Arabidopsis thaliana: one gene and its partners. The protein of the gene in region 1 interacts with the protein of each later gene in a pairwise test. Each region holds a gene or a part of one and is shown in the gene's direction. Other genes may lie near its edges.

What was found. The genes of interacting proteins can lie anywhere in the genome.
Region 2: the proteins of RAN-1 (region 1) and NTF2B interact in a two-hybrid assay, tested with the Arabidopsis thaliana proteins (one study listed by BioGRID).
Region 3: the proteins of RAN-1 (region 1) and SIRANBP interact in a two-hybrid assay, tested with the Arabidopsis thaliana proteins (one study listed by BioGRID).

The regions. Positions count from the first base shown.
Region 1 is NC_003076.8:6,757,249-6,763,496, forward strand, and holds RAN-1 (RAS-related nuclear protein-1), read left to right. Parts: upstream 1-2,845; 5' UTR 2,846-3,115; coding exon 3,116-3,118; intron 3,119-3,269; coding exon 3,270-3,339; intron 3,340-3,561; coding exon 3,562-3,618; intron 3,619-3,705; coding exon 3,706-3,823; intron 3,824-4,081; coding exon 4,082-4,499; 3' UTR 4,500-5,082; downstream 5,083-6,248. Other genes in the region: AT5G20000 (AAA-type ATPase family protein), read left to right, coding at 252-349, 442-666, 754-816, 899-1,062, 1,421-1,577, 1,689-1,787, 1,972-2,082, 2,162-2,302; RAN2 (RAS-related GTP-binding nuclear protein 2), read left to right, coding at 5,569-5,571, 5,698-5,767, 6,108-6,164, 6,246-6,248. UniProt on the Arabidopsis thaliana protein: GTP-binding protein involved in nucleocytoplasmic transport. Required for the import of protein into the nucleus and also for RNA export. Involved in chromatin condensation and control of cell cycle.
Region 2 is NC_003070.9:9,744,329-9,748,967, forward strand, and holds NTF2B (nuclear transport factor 2B), read left to right. Parts: upstream 1-2,482; 5' UTR 2,483-2,592; coding exon 2,593-2,898; intron 2,899-3,384; coding exon 3,385-3,443; coding exon of another isoform or gene 3,444-3,459; exon of another isoform or gene 3,460-3,826; intron 3,827-3,938; coding exon 3,939-3,978; 3' UTR 3,979-4,139; downstream 4,140-4,639. Other genes in the region: ECT9 (evolutionarily conserved C-terminal region 9), read right to left, coding at 1-170, 273-334, 799-856, 935-981, 1,269-1,320; DPL1 (dihydrosphingosine phosphate lyase), read left to right, coding at 4,484-4,639. UniProt on the Arabidopsis thaliana protein: Facilitates protein transport into the nucleus. Interacts with various nucleoporins and with Ran-GDP. Could be part of a multicomponent system of cytosolic factors that assemble at the pore complex during nuclear import.
Region 3 is NC_003070.9:2,191,179-2,196,149, reverse strand, and holds SIRANBP (Pleckstrin homology (PH) domain superfamily protein), read left to right. Parts: upstream 1-2,313; 5' UTR 2,314-2,461; coding exon 2,462-2,616; intron 2,617-2,736; coding exon 2,737-2,888; intron 2,889-2,994; coding exon 2,995-3,120; intron 3,121-3,536; coding exon 3,537-3,790; 3' UTR 3,791-4,471; downstream 4,472-4,971. Other genes in the region: MAPKKK13 (mitogen-activated protein kinase kinase kinase 13), read left to right, coding at 372-1,871.

The DNA.
Region 1 (6,248 bases):
TTATAAATTGTTGCGGTGATTGTTTGGATTGAGGGTTTCTGATCTTTTCCAGAACTGGATCTAAACTATGCTGCGCCTTGATTTTTAGCATCACTAAGTTACCCTATTGAGATTTCTTCTTGATTCTGTTTGTGTTGAGTATGAATCAGCTTCTGTCAATATTTGATTGTTTAGCAAAGTATGTAGTGATTGATACAATCGATGTATACTGCTGAACATTTTAAACCTTGTTGTCATTGTAAACTGAACAGTACGAATGCTCAGAGAAGAGTTACAGCTCCTTCAAGAACCTGGGTCCTATGTGGGTGAAGTGGTAAAAGTGATGGGAAAAAACAAGGTCTTGGTTAAGGTATGAATGTTTTTATCGTATTATCTAGATTGGTTTTTGAATTGTTTGCAATCATATGAACATTGATAGAATAATACTTTCCCATGTTTCAGGTTCATCCAGAGGGGAAGTATGTTGTCGATATTGACAAAAGTATAGACATAACGAAACTCACTCCATCAACGAGAGTTGCTCTCCGTAATGATAGCTATGTTCTCCACCTGGTTCTGCCAAGTAAAGTAGATCCCTTGGTTAACCTTATGAAAGTTGAGAAGGTTCCAGACTCCACATATGACATGATTGGTGGTCTTGACCAGCAAATCAAGGAAATAAAGGAGGTATGCATAGTGAAAGAAACAAACGATACTAAAAGTCACTGGTTTCATGCTTTTAAATTTTATATAATATCTTTACTGGTTTATCAGGTCATTGAACTGCCAATCAAGCATCCTGAATTGTTTGAGTCTCTTGGAATTGCGCAGCCAAAGGTACACTTGAATTTCAAAGCTTATCTATATTGTGACGCTGCTAAGTGGATTTCGAACTGATTGCTTCTCCCTCTCTTTTAAGGGTGTGTTGTTGTACGGTCCACCTGGAACTGGGAAGACACTATTGGCTCGGGCTGTGGCACATCACACTGACTGTACTTTCATCAGAGTTTCTGGTTCTGAGCTGGTCCAGAAATACATTGGAGAAGGTTCTAGAATGGTCAGAGAACTTTTTGTGATGGCAAGGTTTGTACATGCTAGTCCTTATTTAATATTTCAAGCATGGTAAAAGTGGTAGGTTGGAAAAGATGGAACTTTTGACACGATAAATCTTTTACATGCCCGTGCTTAGTAGCTGTAGTGGACATGTGGAGTAAAATAAATTGAGTAAATTGTTCTCTGTTCCTGCTATGAATATGGTTTCAACATGTATACGATCTCAAGCATAATGATCTTTACAAGTAGTCTCGATGCCTAGCATTTAGGCCACAGTAATAGTCTTTTGTAATGAGCAAAGTATACACCATTAATCATCTTCATTGTGCTGAAAAATACTTATTCCAGCTAGCTTACCTTTCTAGTACCTCTGGCTTATGGTTTTCAGGGAGCATGCACCATCAATCATCTTCATGGATGAAATCGATAGTATCGGGTCTGCTCGTATGGAATCTGGTAGTGGAAATGGTGACAGTGAGGTGCAAAGGACTATGCTTGAGCTTCTCAATCAACTTGACGGATTCGAGGCGTCAAACAAAATCAAGGTATGCCTTATGTTGTGAATGAAAAAATAGTCATGAAGCTGAAAAGGATAACTCTGTGTTACTCTGAATTTCGCAGACAAAGTTGTTAATTCTCTTAAATGACTGTTGCAGGTTTTGATGGCTACAAATCGTATTGATATTCTGGATCAAGCTCTTCTCCGGCCTGGAAGGATTGATAGGAAAATTGAATTTCCTAATCCTAATGAAGAGGTAATGCTTGTGTTTCTTAGGACATGATATTAGAAATAACTTTAAACTTGAAGTAGCAACTTTGCTCACTCCGTTGTTTTTGGTAAACTATCATTTACTGCGTAAAATACTTTTCTCCATACTTATTGTACCCAAAGTGAGGCAGGACGGTTTGGCTAATGTATATTTCTAATATGTGTTGCAGTCACGTTTTGATATCTTGAAGATACACTCAAGGAAAATGAATTTGATGCGTGGAATCGATCTGAAAAAGATTGCAGAGAAGATGAATGGTGCTTCAGGTGCTGAGCTGAAGGTAAGTGTTTCTCTGTCCCTGCTTCTGTCTTGTTCTCTCCAATCTGTCTCTCTCTAATGTTTTTGGTTATTACGGTCAGGCTGTATGCACGGAGGCGGGCATGTTTGCACTTCGTGAGAGGAGAGTACATGTGACTCAGGAAGACTTTGAGATGGCTGTGGCGAAGGTAATGAAGAAAGACACAGAGAAGAACATGTCTCTGCGTAAGCTCTGGAAGTAGGAATTTCAGAGTCACAGATTAATTTCGATTATTTCTTCTCTACTGTCTGTGGTTCTTTCTGAAACCTTTTCGGCTAGCGCTTTAAGCTTTTCTAAACAATGTTTGTACACTAGTTTCTATTCATTCAAATGGTTGTTCAGCATAACATCTTCGATTCAACCAAGCTTACATTTTACATCTTAAGAGTATATTCTTCTCCAACTCAGTCTCATTAGCTTAAAGAGAAAACCAACTAAAAGATTGTTTGAGACAAAATAATCGACATAGCTTTGTACCTGAGATCCACCGCTGAGGTCAATAGTGAGTGATTTGAATTTGGAGTGTACATTAATTTAGAAATTCAACCCATCTGGCATGTGTCAAGAATAATTTGAAAACTATCCGTTATGAACAATAAAAATCCTTATTGATGAATGGTGTCTATTATTAAAAATTGAGGTATAAATATGATAAAGAAAATAAATAATTTATTTTGTCAAAACCAACGCGTATATATTGTAATGAATTTAATTTCAAAATTTGCTAAATGTGAAAAAAGGAAAGAAAAATCAATGCCGATGAATGAGTACGCGTGGACCTAAAGCTAGAAAAAGATCCAACGGTGGAGAAAGCTGCGTTAAAATTGCAGAAGAACCAAAGAGAAAGAATCCAACGGCCAATAGTGTAGCGTCAACTCAAAGCCAAACCCTCCCAAATTTCTCTTTTAAAAACCCCAATCTCTCTCTCCCTCTCCATCTTCATTCTCCCTCTCGCCGCTTCCTTCTTAACACCATCGCCTGAATTCGCTCTCCTCTAGCTCGCGATTGCGAAAACATGGTACATGTTCTCTTCGATTTTACCGATTTCTTCTTCGTGTATTATCAGATTGTATACCTTGATCTAGGATTATCTCCGTCTCAGATCTCACGAGATTGCGTCGATGTTTCCATGTTCTAGTTTCTAATTTCGTCGTGGATATATTTTTCAGGCTCTACCTAACCAGCAAACCGTAGATTATCCCAGCTTCAAGCTTGTCATTGTTGGTGATGGAGGCACAGGTACGGTACTCTTCGCCGTGTTTTTTTTTATCGATTAATCAATGCTTGGATTTACGTTGATGGTGATTGGGGTGATAGAGATAGGCTCATATGCTAAGCAGATTTTGCTAGTCGACTCTTTATAATCCGTACTGTTGTATCCAGTGGCTCAATTGATTTCAAGTATGGTAATGTGTTTTGATTGTTTTGCTAAACCTTTGATTGCTTTTGGTGGTTGTGCAGGGAAGACTACTTTTGTTAAGAGACATCTTACTGGGGAGTTTGAGAAGAAGTATGAACGTAAGTATTGCTTGTGAATGTTCAGATTTCTGTTCTTCATGTCTCTTAAATGATTCTGATTTTGAGTCGTAATCTTGTTTGTTGCAGCTACTATTGGTGTGGAGGTTCATCCATTAGATTTCTTCACAAACTGTGGCAAGATCCGTTTTTACTGCTGGGACACTGCTGGACAAGAGAAATTTGGTGGCCTTAGGGATGGATACTAGTAAGTGTGGACCCTTTACTTTCTCATTGATAGGTTAGTGTCTAGAGTCAATCTAGAGTGTGCTTAGTTTGGATTAGCTCTGGTTAGGATTTGAAATTGGCAACCGATTAACCTGGACAATGGGTATAAGACTGGTATGTTTTGAAGTATGCATAGTTTGCAACTGATTTTGTTACCTGGACAAATAGAGTAGAACTTGAATTTTAATTTTGATATTCCATCTGGATGTATAGCTAATCATCTTTGAATTTCTTGCAGCATCCATGGTCAATGTGCTATAATAATGTTTGACGTCACAGCACGGCTCACATACAAGAATGTTCCGACATGGCACCGTGATCTCTGCAGGGTGTGTGAAAACATCCCGATTGTTCTGTGTGGGAACAAAGTTGATGTGAAGAACAGGCAAGTGAAGGCAAAGCAGGTTACATTCCACAGGAAGAAGAATCTGCAGTACTATGAGATATCAGCAAAGAGCAACTACAACTTTGAGAAGCCTTTCTTGTACCTTGCTAGAAAACTGGCTGGAGACCAAAACCTTCACTTTGTGGAGACACCAGCGCTTGCTCCACCAGAGGTTCACATTGACATTGCTGATCAGCAGAAGAACGAGGCCGAGCTCTTACAGGCTGCAGCTCAACCCCTCCCCGATGACGATGATGATATCTTTGAGTAAATCATCCTTCTAGAATGTCTGCCGTGGGAAGCTCTTGCTTGTTCCTTTTGGTTTTCTCTATGTTGTTTTGGTGTTACATATAAATCAATCGGTCTTTCTTATAACAAAAATTAGGTATGTATTTTTGGATGGTTCTTCTGATGGTATCCAAAGCTAAGTTGTTTCTTCGCAAGAATATTAGTTGATTGGAAAACTTTATTCTACCTCCTATTACTTGCCAGTTCTTAGATTTCAGATGCCACTCTTTAGCTACCAGGTGATGTCATATAAACCTGGGTAAAATTAGCTGCAAGTAGATCTTGTTGGGAGACCTGACCTGCATTGACAATGGTTAAGTTCTTTGCCTTCCCCGATCTCTCTAGCTTTGCAGATTCTTCTGCAATCCTCTTCCTTTTCTTCTTTGAAACTTGATCTTCTTAATCAATCCGCACCAGAACTTGTAGAATAATAATCGGATAACTTTTTGTTTGGCAACCATTCTTGCATTGAAGAATGAAGTAACCCTTTCCCTCAAATCAACGACCGATTTCAATCCGTGATTCCAGACATTTTCTTCAACCGTGAGCTCTAAGACCAATTTCTGCAAGTTTGAGCTTAAGAATTTATCGATGTGTATATTAATTTCTGGAAATATTGTTGGTATTAATATGTTACCATTAAATTTGAAAGGCATCATTAGATGGATGTCATGTGAGTGAGTACTTGAAATTTTGAAACTATCCGTTACGGACAATAAATCCTTATTTAAATGATTTGTTAGTAAAAAACTATGCTACAAATAAAATCAAAACTTCACATACGATACAGGAAATAAATATATTATTTATTTTGTCAAAACTCAAAACCAGGACCTAAAGCTGAAAAAAAAAAGATCCAACGGTGCAGAAAGCTGCGTAGATATTGGAGAGCCAAAAGATGGAATCTAACGGTGGAAAAAATAGCGTCAAACCTAAGCCAAAACCTCCCAAAATTCTCCTTATTAAAACCCCATCTCTCTCCCTAGTCCCTCTCGCCGCATCGCTTCTTAAACCTCGACGACATCAACGTCTGACTTCGCTTCTCCTCTCACATGGTGAACATTCTCTTCTCTTTTCCCGATTTCTTCGTCTTGTAGTATTTAGATCTCACGAGATCGCTTAATTTCGTTGATGTTTCTTTTTTCGGATTTTACTGAATTTTGTTGTGATATCTTGTTCAGGCTCTACCTAACCAACAAACCGTAGATTATCCTAGCTTCAAGCTCGTCATCGTTGGTGATGGAGGCACAGGTACAGTATTCTTCGCCGTGTTTTTTGACCTATTGTTTTTTGTGATCTCTGAAATTTGATCGTCTTTTCACTGTCCCCATCTGAAAGCATTCTCGTTTAAGAGACGGATTTGAGATTTTGATGATGTGCTGATTAGATTTGTACGATTGGTTTTTGATAATATCAATGTTTGATTGGTTTTAAAGAGAACCTTACAGACTAGGCCTTCGTTGAGCAGATCTTTGGGATATCGATTCTTAGATGATCCGGAATGTTGTTTTCATTGGCTCAGTTTTAGTATGGTTCAATGTTTTTGATTAGTTCTTGCTAAACCTATGATTGCTCTTGGTGTTTTGTACAGGGAAAACGACCTTTGTGAAGAGACATCTTACTGGGGAGTTTGAGAAGAAGTATGAACGTAAGTATAGCAAAGATGCTTGTGAATGCACAATTTCTGTGAACATCATCTGATGTTGAGTCCTAATCTTGTTTGTTGCAGCTA
Region 2 (4,639 bases), on another chromosome or scaffold:
GGGGTTGGATACTGCTGATTTGATAAGTGAAAAGGAACGAAATATCTTGAATCATCAGCATAGAGGTCGCCATAATGCTGCAGTGATGATTGATTTCTGGTAGAAAGAGATGACCTCTGAAAATCTGATGGTACACCATTACTATGGTAAAACATTTCATTTATCATGCCCTATATCAATTTAATAAGAGATAGGAAATAAATGAACACATCATGAATATCAGAAATCAAAATCAAGTAGTGTGGAAGGCGTAGATTAGATGATTTACGCACAGGAGAGACTTTGTCAAAGCTAGGAACATCCGAGTGTGAGTGGTTCGACCTTGGAGTATCAGCTGCATATTCATTGAGAGAACGACGACATTAAAGAGCAACAAGGAAATTTCAAAACAGTACTACAATAACAGCTAAGAAGCAATAAAATCCACAATTTTGGTCACAAGACAAACATGGCGAAGCAGAAATAAAAAAAGTGGTAAAGATTTTCATGGGTATGCGGCAATGTTTCCTCTAGTGCACATATGAGAATAATCCAAAACAAAGATAACAATTTGGAATAGTCCACATAAGTAGGTGGACTTCATTATAAGAAAGAATAATCAGTTCTCTTGGTTTAAGAACATAAAACAACAGTAGCTTTTTCTTCTCCAAAAACCAAAATCAAGTTGCAAATGAAAATGCCAAAATACCAGAGAGAAAACAAAACAAAGGTCACAAACCAGCAGAAGATTAGTTGTAACCACTAAACTACAGCTAAAATACAATAGAACTGATTAGGAAAGGATCATATAGATCTAACCTCCAATGTGAAATGATTCTGTGCCCTGTCCACAAAAAGGGCGACTGCTAACTATGTCCTGTAAAATCATAACACAATGTGTCATATTGGTGCTAGCTTACATTATATGACACAAGCAATTCCACTAATCACTCACCTGATCTTGGAGAACACTCTGGTCAGTATTTAGGCCCGTAAATGAACCTAAAAAATCCATAAAAAGCAGACAGACACAACCACCATAAGTAAAAAGCTAAACATGAGAGAATAATCATAGGATCAAGGTGAAGTGGAAGAATCTAACAAAGCCTAGTAAGTGAGAGAATCCCAAAAAGGTTAAGGCTTTACGAGAAATTACAACAAGAGTGGGCAAAATTCATCAACAGACAACGTAATCTCTTCGTTAGAGTGACGAAACAATAAAACCCACGAAAATAAAACGAAAAAGGTTCAACATTTATCATTTTTAAAGAGAAGCAAGCGAGGCTTACCAGTAGTAGTAGTAGGAGGAAACCAGTCGGTGCTTCGGTAAGAAGCGGCCATAGAAAAAATCAGCCAATCGGAGGCAAAAAGGAAGAGAGACGATAAAGTTAGACAAAAGCGAGAATCTCTTTGATACTGAAAGGAAGGTGTTGAGAGAGACTTGAGAGAGGAATTGTCGAATTTTGAGGATTTTGGGAGTGTTTTTGGGTGACGCATGGAAATTCGTAATTATTCTTTTAATTAATTGAGTTTTATTTTCTTTAATATGATTAATTAATTAAGTGGATATGAATGCAGGTGAGATAATTTTGTATAAATATTAGCCAACCATTTTTAACTGATCGTTAGAAAGAAACCAATGTGGTTTTTACGAAATAATTTTCACTAATTAGAGAGATTATTCAACTATTTAGAGAATGTAATCTGCCTTTTATTAGTAGTATCCGAAATTTCTAAGAATAAGAAAGGCTTACCTGATTTATATTCTAGTTAAAGAACAAAGAAATTTGTTGGAACAATCTTGTTGATTTCTGGCTGTTTAACCCAATGCTTTTCTATCCATTTTGTTTATTTTTTTATTCTGATTCATAAGTTTACAAAGATATTGTTTAGCTTACCAAATCCATAATACATGTTGGGATCCCAAACTACAATGATAATAACGAAATAGAAAAATATATACACATAATGGAGATTGATTCGAAAACTAAGTAAAGCTTCCATTATATTACTGAAGGTGTAAATGGTTGCCGCGGTTAAATCTGTTTGCAGATATTATTATTTTTTATTTACAATTTATAAATTAAAATTTATTATAATATGAACTAAGAAAAATAAATGAAATTTCTCGCAGACCGATCATAAACCGATTTTACATTAAATAAAGTTGGTTTACATTGTATGTCCTAAAAATAAAATGAACTAAACCGCTGACGGATTTATCTGTATCTACCGCTGCAACCTACACTCTTTATAAACAAATTTATTATTTTTGACACATCTTATAATCTAATTGATTATTTAAAATATTATCTTTTAAATTCTCTAAATCGCACTATATTAAAATATAAAAATTATTTTGTTGGAGAAACAAACCTTAAAAAAGATATATAAAATTATTTGTTCAAAAAAAATGTTAAATAGAAATTAAAGAAAGAAAAAGAGAAAAAAAAAACAAATTGAGAAGAAAAGAAGAAAAGCAGCGTCGTAGAGACGCGAAGTTAAACAACAGGTCAGAGAATAAATAGAAAAACCAAAACCCTTTAGCGTCTCCCAAATCCTCTCAATCCTCTGCTGCTCAATCTCTCATCATCGGCATCGCTCTCTCTAAAAATGTCTCAGATGGATCCCGACGCTGTATCTAAGGCCTTCGTCGAACATTACTATTCCACCTTCGACACCAACCGTGTCGGTCTCGCTGGTCTCTATCAGGAAGCTTCTATGCTCACCTTCGAAGGTCAAAAGATCCAAGGAGTCCAGAGCATCGTCGCTAAGCTCACCTCTCTTCCTTTCCAGCAGTGCAAGCATCACATCTCCACCGTTGATTGTCAGCCTTCTGGTCCTGCTTCCGGTATGCTCGTTTTCGTCTCCGGTAATCTCCAGCTCGCCGGAGAAGAACACGCTCTCAAGTTCAGCCAGGTATCTCTCTCTCTTTCTCTTCGATTTCCGATTGATCTATCTTTGTTTGGATTTGTTTGATTTGCTTGTGAGTTTAGTTATTAGATCGCTAGGGTTTTAGATTAGCTGATGGATCTGTAAATCTGACTCTTTAAAGGATGTAGAATTGCAAATTCGTTGCGACTTGTTATCTGATTCGTTTTGAGCTACAATGATCGATGATGTTGTGACTCGTGTATAGCTCATTGATGAAAAACTTTGCATTAGTCTCTGTTTAGTCTCGAAGAACAAGTTTGGCTCTGAGTTTTGTTGATTAGATTGAAGAGAATTGTTTTCCCTCGCCACAATTGATGGATTTCTTGTCCATGAATGAGATTGAATAAGCTGGTTATGTCGATGTTATGTATTGTTTGCTTTGTTATCTCTGATCTTTTTTTTGTTTTTTTTGGTATCTTTGATCTTGTTCTAACACAACTACAAAACGTTTGGTTTCATTGTGTGCTACAGATGTTTCATTTGATGCCGACGCCACAAGGAAGCTTTTACGTGTTCAACGATATATTCAGGTTGAACTATGCCTGAACAGAAATCAGATTGTTGTTAGCATACATCATTGTTGCATTTCTATACTATTTGAGCAAATCCTTCTATCAATTTTTCTCGTCTTTTTCTTGTTATTCCCAGATGATTTACCTTGGGAACAGAGGAATATTGTCTCTCATCATGTATTTGGTTTGGATTGTTTGTTCATTTGTCATTACAATCTATTGACTTTATAAGACAATTTGAATGGTCATTTGGCTCTTGTTCTTTCTGGGAATATGCTTTTAATCCGAATATATTTGGATGGTCCAAGCTTGGCCTGTTAATGTGTCTAAAGGTTAACTCTTATCTATTGCAAGACTTGCAAGTAGTTTCAATGAACACCTCTCTATGTATAAATAAAGCCATAAGTTCTAATTTAGTTCAGTTGCAACATTTGACCGACTAATAGTGAATTGAAAAATGAAGTGTATCTGGGTCATATTCTGAGTTTTGTCGATTTGTTTGTGGGGTTGCAGTTGGAGATTGCTTCAAGTTTTCAATAATTTATTTACTTGATAAGCATTGCAAGTGTCAAGCACAAAAGTTGCAGATTCCCACAAACCAAATAAGAAAGATCAATTTTGATGTAGAATTTTGCTTCTTTTTCAGAAGAAAAGTCTCAGCTTCACTGATTCGACCGTTGATTCAATTTCTATGGCAGTTCATAATTTTCAGAACGTTATTACAATCTTAAGCTTTTAGTTAATACTTAACACTACGTTGATCTGCTTTGATTTTGATATAAGTTTTGGTTCCAATTAGATTTCGTGTAGTTTTCTTCACCCACCCACTACTATCAGACTATCAGAATCTGAAAGTAACCCACTTTAAAAATTGACAACACACGCAACGAAACACAAAGCGCCAAAAATTAAGGAAAAAAAGGTTTGTCGTAATCTGATACTATTCACGCGATGACCTCGTTTTTGATCATCTTTTCCTTTTCTATATTCTTTTCTCCTCTGTCCCAAACGATTCACTTTTCTCACCATCTCAATCTCCAGACCAAAAGAAACAAAAAATGGATTCTTTTTCATATTCTTCGATGAAATCCATGTTGATTCAAGCTCGTGGCTCGTTGAACTCGCGTTTGTCGGAGTTTGAGCCACTGGTTCTGCTATTGGTTCCGCTTGTCTCTCTGTTTCTCGCTCAGATTATCGGATCTGTGTTTGGCGTT
Region 3 (4,971 bases), on another chromosome or scaffold:
TTTGTTCTCTTTTCAAAACGACTAATCATTCCATAAAAGTAAAAAATTTGTAAGGATTAAGTCTAGATTTCAATAGATGTATATATAATTAAAATTGTTAAAATCCAAACCGACCATCGAACATGGTATAATTTGTTCAAAAATCTAATGATAGACTCGAAAGTTTGTGTTGTACATGACATATCCACGTGGGAAATTTTACAAAGATGAGACTTTACAAATCGAAAAGACAAGTGTACAAGAATAGTCCATGTCAGAAACAAAAAAAATTGCAACTTTATTTCACGTTCACATTTTCTGTTTTGCAGTTCCAAAACACGCATATAAATAGCTTCGTGTTGCACAAGTACGACATATGAAAGTTGGCACACATGGAGAAACAGAGCATCAGAAACACTTGTTCTTCTTCTTTAATGTTATCCTCACCATCTTCTTTTTGGGTTCGTGGTGCGTGTATCGGCAGAGGTTGTTTCGGTGCAGTTAGTACGGCGATCAGCAAAACCAACGGTGAAGTTTTCGCCGTGAAATCCGTGGATCTCGCCACGAGTCTCCCCACTCAATCAGAGTCTCTCGAGAACGAAATATCTGTCTTCCGCTCGCTAAAGCCTCACCCTTACATCGTGAAGTTTCTCGGCGACGGAGTCTCGAAAGAAGGAACGACGACGTTTAGGAATCTCTACTTAGAGTATCTCCCAAACGGTGACGTGGCTAGTCACAGAGCCGGAGGAAAAATCGAAGACGAGACTCTGCTCCAGCGTTACACGGCGTGTCTTGTCTCTGCTCTCCGCCACGTACACTCTCAAGGATTCGTTCACTGCGACGTCAAGGCGAGGAACATCCTCGTCAGCCAAAGCTCCATGGTCAAGTTAGCCGATTTTGGGTCGGCGTTCAGAATCCACACACCGAGGGCTCTGATCACGCCACGTGGAAGTCCGCTTTGGATGGCTCCGGAGGTGATCAGACGAGAGTACCAAGGTCCGGAGAGTGACGTCTGGTCTCTCGGCTGCACGATCATCGAGATGTTCACTGGGAAACCCGCTTGGGAAGACCACGGAATTGACTCGCTGAGTCGAATCAGTTTCTCTGACGAGTTACCGGTTTTCCCCTCGAAGTTGTCGGAAATCGGCCGTGATTTCCTAGAAAAGTGTCTGAAGCGAGACCCGAATCAGAGGTGGAGTTGCGATCAGCTTTTGCAGCATCCATTTCTCTCTCAGTGTCACAACTCATCTCCGACTGAGTCATCTCCGCGTTGCGTACTTGACTGGGTCAACTCGGGGTTTGACTTAGAAGAAGAAGAAGAGGAAGTAGGGAGATCAGAATTCGAAGACGCGGCGAAGGCAATAATTTGTAATTTGGCGACGACCGGAGGAGTAATTTGGGAGTCAGATGGTTGGGTGGAAGTTAGATGCCACGCTTCGGAAGAGGAAGGGACAACAATGGAATATTCGGGATCCACAAGGGTAGAATCGGAATATAACACATCATCGGATCCAAACGATGACGTGGCTGGTGACTCGGCGATAATTGACGTTTCTATGTCTCAGAATTTACCGCCTGGAAACGGGGGATCGGCGGCGGCGCTGCCATATGAATTTGTGGTGGTTTTACATTTATTAATGGAAATTATGGTTTATACTACATGTATCTTTAGGGAAATTGTTCTCACTATGTATTTGTTGTATCAGTATAATCAAAGCAATAAACTCGAAACGTTGTCTTTTAATCACAGCCTCAAGTTTTGTTTGTTTGCACATGTGATTCGGATCGGACAAAACTATCTTTTACGCGGTGAGATGAGATCGAGTGTCTTAATTACGAGCCATTGCCTTATATTGATAACTCTCGTTTACAGCCAAATAGTTGTATTTTAATGTGAAAAAATATTGCGACAAATGGTTTTGGTTCGTAAGCTGGTGGAAGACTCAAGAGGCCAAAAGAGACTTTGGTTTTATGCTTTAGAAGACTTTTGATTCATCCTAATAAGTATTCGGATTTTGGAGCATTTAAATGAATCATAGAGGGAACCGGACCGGTTGAAGATGGTTGTTTGTTTCGACTAGGCCTGAAGGACCAAGGTTATGCATGTACGATTATGTATCAAACTGAACGAAGTCGTTACATAGAGTTTAGCTCAAGCATATCATCATATTCTTTTTTCGATCTTTAAGATTTTTCTCTAATCTCTATGCTATAAATCATTAAGATTTCTCTAAAAAAGGATTAATTTCCCTTGAGATAAATAGCTTTAAAAATAACCCAGATACAATGGGTTTATATGGGCCATATATATTTTTTGTCATAAGAAATCGGCCCATAGTTAGCTTCAATTCAACGCCGTATAACTATGAGTCGTTCCGATTTCCTGTGTTGCGAAACCCCCAAATTCTCTTCTCTCTATCTCTCTCGCGTACGCCGCACCGTAGCGACCAATTGAATCCACGAGGAAATCTCAGTAAATACTATGGCGACCAACGAACCCGAGCACGAGCACAGAGACGAGGAAGAGGCCGGAGCTAACGAGGATGAGGACACCGGAGCTCAGGTCGCTCCGATCGTTAGGCTTGAGGAGGTTGCCGTCACTACCGGCGAGGAAGACGAAGATGCCGTCCTTGATCTGTAAGTGTTTTTCTTAATTGGTGTTTATAGTTTTTCTGATCTAGGTCAACTGGATCTGATCGAATTTATAAGGTTTAGCTTTTGGTGTGTTTGACTGAATTTTTGTTTGTGAATCTAAAGGAAATCGAAGCTTTATCGATTCGATAAGGATGCGAATCAGTGGAAGGAGAGAGGAGCTGGTACTGTGAAGTTCTTAAAGCATAAGAACACTGGGAAGATTCGTCTCGTTATGAGGCAATCTAAAACTTTGAAGATCTGTGCTAATCACTTCGGTATAATTTCTATTTGGACTACTTTGTGTTGTTTTTGAGTTGCATCTGGATCTGTATTTAGGTTACTGTTTCCTTATCTAGTCTTATGCTTCTGATATTTCTGCAGTTAAATCGGGCATGAGTGTTCAGGAACACGTTGGGAATGAAAAGTCATGTGTGTGGCACGCTCGTGACTTTGCTGATGGTGAACTCAAGGATGAGCTTTTCTGTATCCGATTTGCTTCTATTGAGAGTGAGTATGAAACCGAATTTTGTAATGGCTTGTGTTTTGCCTTATTTAGTCTCAGTTGGTTTGATAGATTCACGGATTAGATTACTGATGGATCTTGACCTTAGCATTGCTATATGGCTACTTTGTTAATTGGAGGTTCTCAAAGCTTCCATCATAGGCATGCGTTATTGGGTTCAGGAAATATCAAAATAAGTACTGTGGCGGTTAGGTTGTGGTATTGCATTGTAAAGAGATAATATTGTTCTTGAGGTGGTCAAGTATGTATTTAGGCTGCAACTAATTTGATATGCCAACATGGTCGACTGTTTCTTTTTTTATTTTGGGTAAATATTATCAGTAGTTTCTGAGCTGTTGATCATATTAACCGGGAAAAGTAGAGATGCTTGTGGGTAATCAAATCTTATTTTCCTTGTCAGATTGCAAAACATTTATGCAAAAGTTCAAGGAAGTTGCTGAGTCTGAAGAAGAGAAAGAAGAGAGCAAAGATGCCGCTGACACTGCTGGCCTTCTTGAGAAATTGACTGTGGAAGAGACAAAAACGGAGGAGAAAACCGAAGCGAAAGCTGTGGAGACGGCAAAGACTGAAGTGAAAGCAGAAGAAAAGAAAGAGAGCGAGGCAGAGAAATCTGGTGAAGCAAAGAAAACAGAAGAAAGTGGTCCCTCAACATAAGAAGCGTCATCATTTAAGTTGCCAAATCCTGGCGAGGTAATTAAGCCTCGAAATGTTTTGATGCATCATGAGTCTACCATTGTCTTGGCACTATCTATCTATACATGTTTTGTCGAGTCATATCAAGTGGTTGGGGGATCGCTTGGGGTCGGGTTTTACTGAATGCTGAGTCGTTATGGGTCTAATAGTTTTTGAGTCTAAAGTGTCGGGTGATATGAGAGATTTGGGTGAAATATTTTTTCATGTTGGTTATCTGAAAGAGTACATTGGTTTCATTGTTTTAAGTTTTCTCATGGATCCTTTTTGGATGGTCTTATTTTGAGGATACAAATGTGTTTGTCCATGGACAAGAATCAGAAGTCTCCATTTTTTTTTTTTCAAAATTTAATGCATGTGATTTTTTAATCTTAAGGTAATTGCCAATTGTTTGACAAAAAAAAGGTAATTGCCAATCTACTTTGCTCTCTTGTGTTAGTCGATGCTAGTCTTGACCCTGATAAAGATCCAAAATGTATATTAACAGTATTCATAAAATTCTTCAGTTATAACGAACTGTTCACGGAAAAAAAATGACATTGTACTATACTGTGCTAAAATTACCAAAGCATGATTTATATAAATCATATCCAGTAAGACCATATGTGAATGAATAACAATGGATTATGCTTAGGTTAAGATTTTATTAAATTTATAACACTTTTAAAATAAATTTGGAATAATACAAACATATAAACCATTCCTATAACACCATATTTAAACATAACAATGAATTGCTTGGATTTCAAACTTTATTAAATTTGGATTTTAAATTTTAATTTGATTGAATTATACCCCCTTAATTGGATAAATTCAAATATGTCAACTTTTTTTTTTTGTAAGATTTTTTTATGGAAAAAAAAATTGATTATTCACTAAAAAGATGACAGGTTACTTATAATTTAATATATGTAAACCCTAAAAAGAAGAAAATAGTTTCTGTTTTCACTTTAGGTCTTATTATCTAAACTTCTTTAAGAAAATCGCAATAAATTGGTTTGAGTTCTAACTTTAAACACATTAATATTTGTGTGCTATTTAAAAAATAATTTACAAAAAAAAAAACAAATTGACAGAAAATATCAGGTTTTGTAATAAGATATTTCCTGATAAATATTTAGGGAATATAACATATCAAAAGATTC